Linked DNA regions of Diceros bicornis minor. The main gene of each other region encodes a partner of the protein of the gene in region 2 in a complex. Links are inferred from orthologs where the notes say so. Each region holds a gene or a part of one and is shown on either strand. Other genes may lie near its edges.

What was found. The genes of interacting proteins can lie anywhere in the genome.
Region 1: INTS9 (region 2) and INTS7 share a complex: the UniProt entries of both Homo sapiens proteins name them as parts of the integrator complex. The link is inferred for Diceros bicornis minor from reciprocal best matches to the Homo sapiens genes INTS9 and INTS7.

What each region holds. Positions count from the first base shown.
Region 1 is NC_080743.1:77,746,460-77,754,264, forward strand, and holds the start of INTS7 (integrator complex subunit 7), read right to left. Parts: upstream 3,019-7,805; 5' UTR 2,872-3,018; coding exon 2,778-2,871; intron 1-2,777. Other genes in the region: DTL (denticleless protein homolog), read left to right, coding at 3,326-3,377. UniProt on the Homo sapiens protein: Component of the integrator complex, a multiprotein complex that terminates RNA polymerase II (Pol II) transcription in the promoter-proximal region of genes.
Region 2 is NC_080750.1:64,983,854-64,991,480, forward strand, and holds the start of INTS9 (integrator complex subunit 9), read left to right. Parts: upstream 1-4,620; 5' UTR 4,621-4,883; coding exon 4,884-4,892; intron 4,893-7,627. UniProt on the Homo sapiens protein: Component of the integrator complex, a multiprotein complex that terminates RNA polymerase II (Pol II) transcription in the promoter-proximal region of genes.

The sequences.
Region 1 (7,805 bases), on a different chromosome or scaffold from region 2:
ACGGCTTGCATTGCCCTACAGGAACTGGCCTCTGATTATCTTTCTACCTTCATTGTCAATCACTCTGCTCAAGGTACAGCAAGCAAAGCAGGCTCCTATCTCAAGGCCTTTCTTTGCATTTGCTGTTCCTTTATTTGATCAGTGAGGCCTTTCCTGACTATCCTATATAAAATTAACAAACCAATTCCAACCCCATACCCAGTTTTCTCCAGCTCCCTTCACTTGTTTCTGTTTTCTTTATAATATGTATCACTATCTGTCACAATACATGCTTACTATATTTGTTTATTGTCTGTTTTCTCTGTCCAGAATATAAACTCAATAAGGGGAGCGGCTTTGTTTTGTTTCATTGCTGTTTCCCTAGCACAAAGCCTGATCAAATAAGTGATGTATGTGAGTGTGAGTGTCTGAGTGTCTGTATGTTGTCAGGAGAGGGAGGGAGAGAGAGAAGAAAAGGGCGAGAGGATACGGAGGAAGAAACTCCTATTAAAATACTTCAGAAATAGTATTTCTTGGGGTGCACTTTCTGAAACTGGTCTATAAGTTTTGGAACTAAAAGAAAGCTGGAATCTGTAGCCTTCTGACCCTCTGAACTTTGGCTCACAAAACAGAAATACTTTAACAGCTAAAGGATGAAATGACTCAATATTTAAAATACTAAACTATATTCTAATGAAACTGGCTATTTCTATAATCTAATCTCTTAACAGATTTAAAAGGTATAGCATGCTGAGGTGAAAAAGAACAAAAGTTTTGCTCTCGTCGTGTCCAATCTATCCTTCTGAGACTCATCTGAAAAATACTCACCAGGGCATTGCTGAGAAGACTGAACAATATATCACTTCCTTAGTATCTAGGACTGACACCTGGTTTACAGTTAAACGCTCAATAGCCATCCATTTATTTCTTATAGATCTGAAATATATCTATTTCAACTTTTAAGAATGAAAAATTGTGATGTATTTTTTTCTTACCATAATTGCAAATGTTTAGGAATTAAACAATTCTAGATTTCTAATACGGAGTCCCATTGTGATCTCTGTTCTACAAGCACTGTTTTACTGTCATTATGAGACGAGCCCACCAAGGTGGTAGAAAATGTCTTAGAATTGGTAAGGATATTACATATCAGGACCTGCAACTCTCACTGGGGAATAAGGAAGGAATTATCAGAATGGGAAGGAAAAGATTACGAAGTGTTAAAAAAACACATTTAAAGTCACAATTTTATATTTCAGAGGGAAAAAATCCTATAGCTTTGGCAAGAGAAAGCAAAGCTCAACATCATTTTCTTGGCGGATGGGGATGCGCTAAAGATACTGTGATTCAACCAAACGATTATATCACTGGAGTGTTGTGACACTTTCATGTTGATCAAAAGGAGTTAAAAGCTTTTTAAAAAGTCTGAGAGGGGCCGGGCCAGTGGCGCAAGCGGTTGGGTGCGCGCGCTCCGCTGCGGCGGCCCGGGGTTCGCTGGTTCGGATCCCGGGCGCGCACAGACGCACTGCTTGGTAAGCCATGCTGTGGCGGCGTCCCATATAAAGTGGAGGAAGATGGGCACGGATGTTAGCCCAGGGCCGTCTTCCTCAGCAAAAAAAGAGGAGGATTGGCGGATGTTAGCTCAGGGCTGATCTCCTCACAAAAAAAAAAAAAAAAAAAGTCTGAGAAACCTTTATCTAGACCAACCCACTAGATATGTTTACAGGTTAAAAAACAAACCAACAAATCCAAAAAACAGAGTCCCAAAAAAGTTACTAGAACGTCCAAGTCAGAGAGCTGGGGAGTTGCTCAAAGTGGACTTAAAGAAAGATCCTTCTAACCCCTAATCCAGTTCTCAATACATTATACACCGGCTATGGTTAATCAAGAATTAACTGTATACCAGGTGACAAAATGCTTCCCGCGTTCAATAAAAACCACTGAAGTACACTGAAACAAAGGCTTCATTTTAATACTTGAGTTCTTTACTGACAAATATCTGCCCTTGCTTCCCATATCCATATCCTAGAAAGAAGGCATATCTCTTTAGACTTAATAAAGGCTTCTTTTGCGTATCATTATATCACTTAATATTTACAACAATCTGGTCAGCTCAATGATACTGTACCCACTTTGCAGACAAAAAACTGAGGTTAAGTGAAGTTAAGTAACCTGCCCAAGACCATAAAATTAGCAGAACTGGAATTCAACTCAGTCTAACTCCAAAGCTTCTTCAACCACACCAAGCTGCCCTCCAGCACCACCCCCGCCCCGCCCCCGTAAGGAAACAGAACTCGTGAAATTTGTCTGCAGAGGAGGAGCAGGGGCTATGCTTTTCCGAGGGTCTTGGCCGTATTTAATCCGCCTAGTAACCAGCAGGTAACAGAGGTACAGAAATCAAATGAATCGCTGTTATCAGTGCAAGATTATTATTTAGCACTCTTGGTTACGAGTTGGTCTCAACTGAACGTACTGAAAAATAATTTCACAGTTTCAATTTAGGATTTTTAGAAACTGCTTGGAAAATCGGGGAACTGTGCCCTCAGGCGGTCAAAACGGGCCCACCACTGGAGCTCGCTACTTGTTCAGCTGGTGCAAGGCCAACCCAGCAACGCCGCAACTCTCCTGCTATCTCCTGAAGCAGCAAAAGCGCTGGACTCACCAAAAGCACAGGCAGCCGGCCCCGCCCAGGGAGGCTATGCGCATGCGCCTTCCCGGCCTCTCCCGAGGCTACCACCGCCTGGTGGCGCCACTTCCCCCACGCCCGTTTCACCCGCTCAGCCCGCTCTTTCGAATACCTTTGTCTAATTCCATAAGGGCAGAGTTAGCATCCAGCTCCTGTTCGCCATAGCCGGCATCTGCCAAGAAAGACTTAGTTGAGTTTGACGCCATGACCCGACTAGTTACTCGACTAGTCTATTCAGAGAGATTGCAAACTCTGCCCCAGCACCGCCATCTTCTTCCACCACCTTCTCGCGGATTTTTCCTCCGCGCTCTGTCAAGCCGTGTTACGCATGCGCCCTGGTCACCCTGCCGTTCGCCACCTCCTCTGCGGCCCCCTGCGCAGGCGCTCAGGGAGCTCGTGAACTCTAGGTTCCCGCGGCTGGGAGAAAAGAAGGCGGGGATTCGAAGGGGGAAGTGACTTGGAGGCGCCCGGACGCCGCGGCGGGAGCCAATCAGAGGGCGTGACGTCAGTTTGGCGGGGAGTTTGGTGGCCGGGGCTTACAGTGGCGGGAGTTGGAGGCAATAACTAATCGTGTTGTGAGCAGCGCAAGCTACGCTTTCTGCCGAACCTGGGGGCATCTCCACGGCTTTTCCCTCACTTGAGCCTGCTCTTCCGGCCCAGATGCTCTTCAATTCGGTGCTCCGCCAGCCCCAGTTTGGCGTCCCGAAAAATGGTGAGTAACGGCCATAACTGCTGCTTGTTGCTGGCGGGATTCGCCTCCCCCGAAACAACACCTCGGACCAAGGCCGATTCCGCTTCTGTTTCCCAGCCCCGGTGGCCGTTCTCCCACGGCCAGAATGAGTTCGTGTTAGCGAGAACTACTGACGAAAGCTGCACTTATATGCCCTAGGGACACTTTTAATCGTAATCGGGATTTTTTTAATCGTAATGTAGGCTGACGGAGGGAGGGAAGTTGAACTAACTGGCCTCCTTTACGGCGTAGATCTGTGTTGCACATTAACTGGAAAACGCATGCGTTTTTGTAGGTTTGTGGTTCTCTCAACAGCCATGTGAGATCGTCAAGACTCGTACTCATTGATTAATTCATTCCTTTGTCGTAGAATCTTAGTGAGCCCTACTATTTGCTATATACAGCAGTGAATAGGATCCGCTCGCTGCTAAGGAACTCAGTCAAGCAGAGAACACAAGCTTCTAGCATGGTCAAAATTTTTTCCCCCTGTTTACTACATGGGCATAAAAATTGGAAATTAAAGAGTGGAAAATACCCATAACCACATCCCCCAGAGAGGACCACTGTTAATAGACTGGAGTGTATTATACCAAATGTTTTTCAATGCCAAAGGTAATATGTATCGTTATTTACAGAAATGGGATCAAAATGGTTTTGTTTTGTTTTTCACTTTAATGGTATAACTTGGAAATATTTCCTTGTTAGTATGTAGAAATCTAACTTATTCTCTACAGTTCTTGAGGTTCCTTAGGTTAAAGCATTGGCAATAGGAGTTTTAAGCTTAGGTTTGGGTGTCATCAACCTGAAACGTTTTAAGTTTCTGGTAAGGGAGTTACTACACAGGCCAGCATGGATAGAAATGAAATCTCATTCATTTAAAGATGGACTAGGTCTTCTTTCCCCTTGAAACCATGTGGAAAACATAAAGAAAAGAATCTGAGAAGGGAACTTTTTATGTTTAAGCCATAGGTCTAGGGAAAGGATATTGAGGAGACTGAGGAGTAGTCCCTCACCTTCCTGCCCCCAGTCTAAAACTTTATGCTTTCCTTACCTGCTTCCCTCTTAGATAACCTTTTAAATTATATTCTAAATGTCCCTCTTTCTGTCTCTCCTGGGACCTTGCTTGAGTAACTTGTCTATCCTCTGTGTCATGAGTGGCAGTGCCATGTACGGTGGTTAAGAGCTCTGTCTTTGGAGTTAAACTGCCTAAGTTTTAATTCCAGCTCCACTCCTTACTGTGTGACCCAGGGCAAACTATTTAGCTTCTGTTTTGTGACAGATTTTCTCCTAATTCTCCAATCTGTCTGTCTACTTCTTCCCCTCTCTCGTTCCTTTACAAAAACTCATTCATTGTTATGAACTAGGCACTGAAATTCTTTCATTCTTATAAATTATGCACTGAACTTTGTAGGACTTTCTTCTCCTTTCCCCTTTGGTGTTGGTGTTCCATCCTAGGCCCCTTTTCTTTTTTTTTTTTTTTTAAGATTTTATTTATTTATTTTTTCCCCCAAAGCCCCAGTAGATAGTCGTATGTCATAGCTGCACATCCTTCCAGTTGCTGTATGTGGGACTCAGCCTCAGGATGGACGGAGAAGTGGTGCCTCGTTGCGCGCCCGGGATCCGAACCTGGGCCGCCAGCATCGGAGCGCGCACTTAACCACCAAGCCACGGGGCCGGCCCCTAGGCCCCTTTTCTCTTCTACCTACTCCCACGGATGATCATAGCCGTAACCAGGGCTTCTTCCACTGCTACCTGCAACCTTGCCTTCCCTATACTTTATGTCCATTCCTATAAAAGCTGGATGAGTATCTTCACCCAGATGGTCAGTCCCACAAGCATTTCAAACTCACGTACCCAAAACCGAACTCACTTTTCCCCCAAACCTGCTATGTTACCTACTTTAGGAAGTGGTCCCATTATTTTAAACTAGTTTCCCCAGCCAGAAACCCGAGAGTCAATCAAAATTCCTCCATTTTCCTCAAGATACACATTCAGAAAGTTCCATTAAAATCTTTTGAATCCATCCTCCTCTCTGTTCCCACTGATTTTGCCTCTTCATCGTATCTTGGATCTGTTCTATGCTTACCATTCTATTTCCCTAAGTTGGGGCCTAATACCTTCTTGTCTGGATTATAACAAGTCTCCCAAATGGCCTCTTAGTTTCTTTTTCTCCAGGTTATTCTCCATATTGCTGCCAATGATCTTTCTAAAATGGAAATCTGATTACTCTTCTGTGTATTTTTAAATTGGCTTTTAAAAGTTTTTATCATAAGTTTAAACAGATGCAAAGGATATTATTTCTGGCCATATTGTGAATATTGGCATTTTAAAATAAAAATGCTACATCATTCTTTAAAATGTATCTAATAGAATATAAATACTATAGTGATTTGATAATCACATGAATCATTTTTTTTAAATATAAACAAACTCTTTGCTAGATATTGTACATACTTGCTTTTTCCCCGTGAATTTATACCACTTTATTTCTCCCATAGAATTTATCCTAAGGTAATTTGATTTTAAATTACCTTGAAAAGTTATTTTATTGATCACTCTATCATACTCCTCTGTGTAAAAAAATGTATTTAAATTGAAATTTTCTGTAATTATAAGGCTCCAAATTGAAATTTTCTGTGATCGTAAGGCTCCAAGTGTTAAAAAGTTTCTTCTGGATTAAATTATTACAATTATTAGTATGCAATTGATAAAAGCAACTTAGGTTACTAATTTTGATAAATAATTATTAAGCAAAGTAAAATTTTATTGGAAGTATATCTTTTAAAGAGATGAAATTGGGTGTTTATAATCCCTTTATTAAAGGAATTATCCAGTTATCTCTTAGTTGGGGTCTCAGAAGTTTTCATACCTTGGGTGAATGCAAGGTGTAAGATTGGGGTATGGAAATGCCTTTCTTTTGAAAACTGGAAGAAAGGCAGTGATGAAGAGAAAGGGGAAAAGAGAGCCTCAGCCACAGATCAATTTTAGAAATGCATATATATGGAAGTTGAGTATCCAGAAATTGATTCTTTGAGAACTCGCTTGCCTTCGGATACTCCCTGAAAAATCTGCATGTAACCCCAGGGGCTTAATCTGTACAATGAGGAAAGAATAGGCTTTTCCAAAAGAGTATTGTAGGGGGAAAGCATTACAGGTTCTTGGTGGAAAGAGCATAGCACAATAAGGATCCAAAAGTAGCTTAAGGGGCTGGTCCATGAAGTGTGTGTTGTGGGCAGTGCAGAAATGGAGGGGTAGTTAGGAACTCATTACTAAGCCACATTAGGCCATTTGTTGGTGGTGGGATGTTAGTCTGTAGGCAATGAGGCAGAAATGAGGGGGTCACTGTTTAATTGTAAAGAATTAGGTATCCTGAGCATGTGATCTTCAGTTCCACCTAAATTGTTCAAGATTCAGTCCCTTTGAATTCCTGTGTTGCAGTCGTTAACTTTAAAACAGAGACTTTGTTTTTCAAATCGTTCTGTAGATGGATGTTTGTGAACTCTACAACATAACTAATTGTATTCTTTTAATGGTCTTTAGTGGCTTGTTTACAGTGATATCTGACCTAGAGGTAATACCCCGAGGAATAATTACTAAATCTGAATTGAATTTCTTTGCCTCCTTTGTACTGATTCCTTCAAGTTATCTCTATAAACATCCAAAACTAGATTTATCTGAGATTCTGTCAGGCTAAGATGTCTTCTCCAAAGTATTTTTAATGAAAAGTGAGAATTGAAAGTACCCTAAAATGTGAAAGAGTGTTTTAGTTATTTAGACAGGTCTCAATAGATTGTAACTTCATTGTTTCCTCTGATGCTTAGTAAACATTTGGTTCTCAGTAATTATTTATTGAATGAATGTTTCTCTTACATATTTAAAATGTGTTAACCCACATATCAAAATGATAAAACAAATCTTTGAAGATGGTTTACTGTTTAGGACCATAGTGCACATTAGGTCTCTGGCCCAAGCAGAGTAAACTTTCCCTCCACCCTGAATGTCTTCCTCTCTCATATATTCAATGAAAACTATTGATCTTTCAAGACTTAGTTTGATTTCACTTCCTCTAGAGACTTCCCTGACCTTACGCTACTACTAGCCAGGGCTAACTGATTGTACTCTTGGGGTAGGTACATAACGCTTTACTTTAAAATTGCTCTAATGTACTTTAAGATACTATGACTGGTTGCTGTTGACATTTTAGAATCCTAGAATTTTAGCAATGGAAAGAAGAGAGGAAGTGAAATTAGTATTGTGAATATGTTAGTGGCTATACTAGGCACATTGACATACAGTATTTCCTTTAACTCCTTGCCCATTGGATTATGTATGATGTTGCTAGTAACTTAAAGAGTTTGCAGTAATGTTGATTTAGAAACTCTAAAAACAGAAGATGTTAATTGAAGAGAA
Region 2 (7,627 bases):
CAGTAACTAAATGCTCTTGGAAAGTGTCCAAGACAATGTTATGGTAAATATCCAACTTGTTTCATCTAAAATCAAGAAAAACAAGTTACCTGAAGCACTAGATTATGTTTAAGTAGACTCTAACTAAAAGTTTTACATCAAATAATCACTTGGAAAAATCTTTACTCTGTACTTATGATGGGCTCTAAGACCAGTAAGGGTCATCTGGGGAGATAGCCACACCTAGGAATCTAAGTCACATATTACTTAATACTACTTTGAGAAACATTTTAATCCCAATAGCTTCCATTTTGAAAGAAATAGATTTTGGCAGAATCTGTTAAAATAATGGTGTAAAATGTGCTGGTGGTTCTCTGGTTTCTAGCTTGAGCCACTGCTGAGAGTCTCCTGTTATTTGTGGTTCAGATTCCTTTTTTACAGGTTGCATGTCTGATAGATATTTACCAATTTCAGCTATAAACAAACATAAAGGCGCTTTATATATGTGAGTGCATACGTGAACGTACATACATGACACTCTAGACAAGCTGTGATTTCTACTTAAAACAACTTTTTTATAAATTGAAGTTCTACTAAATTGAGAAGTAAAAACCAACAGTTAAGAGAAAAACCTAGCCAAATAGCAAAGGGAGCTATAAAATTAACTCTGGAAGCCAAAAAACCTAAATAAAGCAGGTTCATAAAACAAACCCGACAGATTTTCACTCAGCACTTACAAGTTTATAAATGTTTACGTTTTTAAAAAGTTGAGTGGTACACCAACTTTAATTTATGAAAAATGACATCCTGTGATAAATTTCTAATTCCCAAGAGAAATAATTCAAGTTTAAAGATCTGAATACAAAAGTAATTGAAGGAAGAGCTGTAAAGAAATGAACAGAAAAAGTAAATGTGGTTTTACAGGAAACATGGAAGCTTTCTGAAACATTAAAAGTGGAATGGACTGAATATAACACACAAAAGACCCAAAATGAACAAATTAAGCATAAATATTCCTAATGTGTTCAACATCTACTGAAATAAGCAATTCCATTCCACTCCATACTTGCCACAAAAATTGCCATAAATTGGTTACTTCTATTTTTTTAAATGATGAAACAATGAGAGATTTGTTGCAATATATTTTATAACTTACCAATAGTGAGCTATTAAGTTTCTATTAGTGATGCTTCAACTAAGGATTTGCACTAAGATGACTGAAATCTGTTCGTACAGCAGTGAAATTGAAGCCTCACTAAAGACATTCAACATAAAGCTGACCCCTAAAGGCTCCTTGATGCACATTTGCAACCACAGTAGCCAGGATATGCAGTACACTAAACTAGCAACAGATTGGTTAAAAACTGTTTGGATTTTCAACTTCCCATAATACAGGCAGCATTTTTAGAAGCAACTGTATTAAAATAAATACGTCTTTCACAGTTACGGGATGAAATTTTAAGCTGGACAGGCACCAATGCCCTGATTTTCTACTTTTTTCGTAAACCATATGACTTCCACATGCTGAGAATGTTTTATGCTTTAACCTGCAGTAAAGGCTTTACATCATTTTAATGCTCAGTGCTTAACATGCAACAGAATCACCTTCAATGAATGCAAGGAATATATTTCGTTTACTTTAATGATTTCAACCAGACTAGTAGTCAGAAAAAGTTTAATGAAAGCTTTGCTCAGTAAGTAACTTTGCATTTCCATAGAAGAAAACAGACAAAAAATCTGAGGTAACGTTGAGTGGAACAGAAAATACTCTTATATTTTTCCAACTCAACAAAATTTTAGTTTTTTAATTTCTAAAATAAATATTGAACATTTTAAAACTCTATGTCTAACAGAATATCTTTCAGCAAAAAACAAAACAAAACACTGTTATATAGTTACATAGGATTTTTCTCCAGTTTTTGCAAAGTAATGTTTCAAGCTGACACAGAAGGTTAAAACAAACCTAGTCTATAACAAACTAAAGGCTCAGCTTTGTACCAACATATTCTATATTCTAAATTCGAGATTCAGACGACATCAATTTTTTTTTATTCAGGTCAATCTAAATATATACGCTACCTCATGCTTATAGTTAGCTTATCTGTGTGAATGAACCACAGAAATTTCAAATCAAAGGTTATAAAACATATCATAAAATTACACGCTGTATCTACATCACTTTCAGTTTTCATGAAACCTAAGGTCCTTTACTGATAGGTTCAAGAATTGATAAGTTTGGAGCAGAATATGTAAATACATTAAATTTTCAATAGTCAAACAAGAAATTATGCCAATTTCTCTAGTTATTTAAAAGTCCATTACACTAAAAACTGTCACAGAAGAAGGGTTACTGAAAAACGTTATTTCAGACTAAGGGAAGTACAAAACATGATCCTAAATTCTCCTGGTGTAATGTTATTAAATATTAAAGACTGTGAGAAACAAGAGATGTTGCAATCCTCTTCCCTTTATAACTCTAATTGAAACTTGAGAAAAAAAATCAGAATTCAGATTTTCCGAACTTGGTTTTATAAACATAATTCAACTAGATCTAACAACTTAGTTGTGTGATTTTAAAATAAGTTTAACGCAAAGCTCTGCAATCCTGATTCGTGATAATCACCTGAAACATAAATGCAAAATAAAAACAAATGCAAATCCTTTTCATCTGATGATGCATTTTATAGTAGAACCACAAAAAAGCACAACAATATTAGCAGAAACTAAACAAACATACACAAGAGGCATTATGTCCATCCAGGAAGAGAAATGTACCATGCCAAGAAAGAAAGGAAGGACTGAAGGAAGGAAGAAGGGAAGGAAGGAAGGAAGGGAGGGAGAGAAGGCAGAGGTTTCTATACTTGGAGGATCCCAGAAAAATAAACTAGCGACATCAATCTACCCTATAGGATACATAAGGTTTTTTACAGCTTCAGGGTAAATAAAAATAGCACTTTATGCCATTCAACTTTATATAGTATAGTATCTTTAATGCCAACTGCATTCTCCCCTACACTCACCCAGTGCTTCCTCACTCTTCCATACCAGCTTTCAGACAAATGCGAGACAGAACAGGGTGGGGTAGAAGAAAAATACAAGAAGCGCCTTTCAGCTACTCCCCCGCCCCAATAATTTCCAACCGTTTTTCCTACTACGAAAATAAGTCGCCCTATCTCAAGATACACAACAGTCATTCTGTCTCTAGTAGACACACAGAGACACACACACATGTCAGCACTCCCGACCCCTACCCCACGCCCCCGAATCTTAAGTAATGTTTAATATGTTTAACACGAGACGACGAGATACCTCTACCTACTATTTCGGGGTGAGGGTGGGTGGAGGACTCCTTTCAAAGTAGCCCCAATAGTGTAACCAAAACACGGTTCCGGAATAAAATATTAAGAACACTTTTCCTTTCCCACCTATCTACCGACTTAAGGATGCAAAAATCCATCTCCACACATCTCCTGCCCGGAGTTTGGGGCGGAGATCTGGCCGGGGAGGGGGCGGGGAGAAGTAGTGGGAGCGGGCAGCAGGACACAAACGAGTTGCTCACCCCAGCTACCCCGCACCACGTCGCCAGCCCGAAGGGCCAGCAGCCGGACCTCATGCACACTTCTCTGCCCAGGCCCAGTTAAAAGCTATGGCTCCAGCTATCTAACTTCCTATCTATAGACATTTATTCAAGACTAACATATCACACAAGTACACGTCACACAGTTTAGCACACAGTTATACACCCCAAACAAACCCACACACCTCAAATTCACCTCACAGTTTCCCAAACTCCAAACAGGAGACCCCCACCTCCAGGATTCAAACCTTGCGCCCATAGTGCAGGAAACCAGGAGAAAAGAGTTGGGGAGCAGCCGACGCCTTTCAATTACCGCCCCCCACAAACTACCCCACCCCATACCCTGCGTCCGTGTTACTCACTAGGAAGCCCCCCGCTTCCTCCCTTCTCTCAATCGGGCCGCTTAAGAGACCCATCCCCAGCCCACTTACTTTCCCCCCAAAACCTCTCCAAAAAAAAAAAAAAAGTGAAGAGAAAGAAGTGAGGAGAGAGACTTGAGGTAGTCCGGCTTCAAAACCGCTCGACTCACCTCAGAATCCTTGCTGAGTTCTCTCCGCCCGGCACAGCCCCCTCCCCAACGTCCCAGTACGAAGGGCTGAGGTAGGGAGGAGGGGAAAACGGGAGGGGGAGGGGTGTCTTCCGCGTGGGGCGCTCGTCGGGATGGGTCTGGGGAGGGGTTGAGGCCGGCGCAGGAAGAGGAGAAGGGGGAGGGGAGGCCCCTATCTCCCAGTCTACCCCTGAAAACCTCCCTTGTCTCAATCACATCAGACTGACTGTCTTTGTCTGGCTGACAACCGCCATATTGATAGCAACAGCCCCTCTCCCACCTGCTGCAGCCGGGCGGCCCTGGGAGTTGTAGTTCTGCCTCCCTTGAGTAAAAGGGCGAGACTTGGCGTCCAGAGGCCCCAGGGAACTACAGCTCCCGGCAAGTCCCGCGCCCATCCGCCTCCCCAAAGGGAGGAGGAGACAGGGGCGCCAGAGCCCTGGGAACTACACATCCCAGAATACCATGGGTCCCAGGCCCAGAAGAGGGACATGATATCACGCTAGGGTGGAGAGGGAAGATGAATTGGCGGCAGGGAAGAATTTGAGCTGACGGAAGGCGGTGTTCGGAGAGGAAAGAGAGGAAAAGGAAAGATGACCACAGGTCCCATGATGCTTGGAGAGATGACTACATTTCCCATGATGCCCCGGGAAGGGGGCGTAGGGAAGAAAGACTGCGTGTCCCGCGATGCTCTCGGTGGGCCGGTGGTAGAGATTGAACCGGAAGACGCTTTCTGGGTTTGAGGGAGTCGGGTGACTGGAGTTAAACAACCAAAAGTCCAATATGAAACTGGTGAGTTTTCGCATCTAGGTCACAGGGCAAAGGTGATGCCATATCCTTTTGGACTTCGTCGTTTCCACCTTGAGAAGGGTACCGTCGTGGAGGAGGGGTGGCAGTTAGGGAACTAGAAAGTGGGGTGGACTGAGGAAAGCTGCTGTTGGTTGTTGAGGCTTTTTGAATCCCACCTCACACTCCCCCGCACGCGATTGCCAGGAGATCTTATTCATCCCTTGGCGGGTCCCTTTGGTAGCTAAGAGGTTGACTATCACCTTTCTTCACCTAGGAACTAAGGTTGGACTTGAACTAAGTTTGACTTGTTTCTCAGCTGCCACGTGAGTGTTACAATAGGTTGTTAACTTCTGTCCACGCGATTGGCCCTTCATTATCGTTTCCCTCTACCGTTGTAGAGAAGGCTTAGGTTAAATGTGAGCAGAGTAGAAAATAATTTGGCAGAGCGTTATCACTTATTAAATTTTCTTCTTTAGACTCCTAACTGCCCTTGGAATTCAGAGGAGGTCAGGGTGTGATCTTGGAGAATTTGACCAACCCTGTATAAGATGGGCTGAGAGGAAGTGTTGAGGCATTCCAGTCTAGGGCTGTAGCGAGTGCATGAGCCAAGGTTAGATGGAGCATACCAGTATACCTAGAGAAGTCTTTTCATCTCAAAACTCAAACGCTTGACTTATAGGAAAGCTTCTCAGACCTTTATTTTGAGCCATTTTACTCTCGTGCACACAGATCTAACTAGTTTATTCCAACTCTATGGAATTAGTAATAGCATAATTAAGAGTAGAAAAGCAGGTGTGAAATGCTGGTTCTCAACCTTTTAAAAATCCATGTTCCTGTGGCCACGTATTGTCAAGCTTTACTTTCTGTACCTGTTTTTTTTTTTTTTGGTGGGGAAGATTGGCCCTGAGCTAACATCTGTGCCAATCTTCCTCTATTGTTTATATGTGGGATGCTGCCGCAGCATGGCTTGAGGAGCGGTGTGTAGGTCTGTCCAGGATCCAAACCCCCAAACCCTGGGCTGCTGAAATAGAGTGCGAGAACTTAACCACTATGCCCTGGGGCTGGCCCCATACTTTCTGTAATTTTTATACAAAAACAAAAGGTTTATTTTCTTAATTATTTGAACATGCTTTTCCAGAGCACACATAAATGCTACAGGCATATACTCTGCAAAGTGTCAGCTGTTTTCTGAGGAATCAGAGAATGTATTAAAAGTAGATTCAACTACAAAACTGTCTCCATTTAAAGACGTTTGTGTAAGGGAAAGGGTACAGATCAGTAAACCTTGAGAGTATCAGTTTGATTCTGGGTGGTTGTGTGAAACATTTAAGAATGCAGAATTGAAAGTCAACGCCCTTGCCCTAAAGAAGCATGCAGTCTACTGCAGAAGATAGAAAAGTAAGCCAGAATTATAATTCACTGTATTCATGGTAAATGAAAGGCATGTTCAGGATTTGGGGAATTGATGATGACTGGGGGGGTGGGGGGAGTCAGAGACAACTTCCTGGAAGGGTAACTGTTGAACTGATAAGAAGGATGAGTAGGCTAGGGCTGTTCATGAAGACAGTTCAGCTTATAAAAGCAAAAGAGCTTGGCTCCTAAATGGTTGGAACACAGACCATATGTCCTCAATAAAGGACATGGAAGGGAAAAAAGTAGAAACTTTTTTTTCCTTTAAGAACCAAAAGATACCTCAGAGAAAGAGAAAGTGTTCTATCTATACTCCCTCCCTCTTTACTTTCAAGCCACGTATTACATACTAAAACTCATTTGGTAGTTGATAGATGATCTATAATGTGGAATTTGTATCAACATAGCAAAGTGGTTTCAAAAACATTGACGCTCACTAAGTTAGACTTCTGTGTGTCGTGCCTCCCATAGAGTTGGAATAAATCCTCCCAGGGCCTAAAATTTTTAACTTTGTGTACTGCTTCAGGAATATGTACTAAGCCATATTTTACATTTATAATCGTGAAATGCAGAAATACATTTTTTTGAGCACTTTCTTGTTTTTGAGATTATGACTTCCAAAATACCCTTCCCATGTACAATCTATGACTACATCTTGTTGATTCTACTTCTGTTCTTGAATAGATCTGTTTCTCTCCTGTCCCACTAATACTGCCTTTGTATGGGCTCTTTTCACATGACACTTGGAATTCAACAAGATCGTCTAACTGGTCTCTCTGCATTCAGTGTTAACCCTCTCCAATCTATTCTCTACTCTGCATCTCAGAAGTTGTTTTAAATTGCAGAGTTTCATAAAACCCTCAGTAGCTTCCTTTGCCCTTAGGATAAAGTCTTACAATTCTTAACTTGGCTTACTTGGTTCTGTAGAATATGACCCTGCCTACCTCTCCAGGCTTGTGTCTAGCCCTCATCTTGCTTGGTCTCCTTGTTTCAATTATATTGCACGTCTTCCAGTACCTTGAACTCACCCTACTCTCGTTTGCCTCTAGGATTTTAAATATGTTCCATTGCCTACAACACTTTTTTGCCTGCCTAATTTCTTCATATATTTCAGATCTCTCTTTAAATAGCACTTCTTCGAAGTCTCCTTGAATTAGGTACCCCTGTTATATACTTCCATGGCACACTTCCGTTTTGTTACACTTGTGATTATTGGTTTTATGTCCGTCCTCCCTCATGTAAACTCTGTGTATTCCCAGGGCCTGACATATAGTGTGATGCCACTAAATAGTAGTTGAATAAATAATTTCTGAAGGATTATCAAAGTC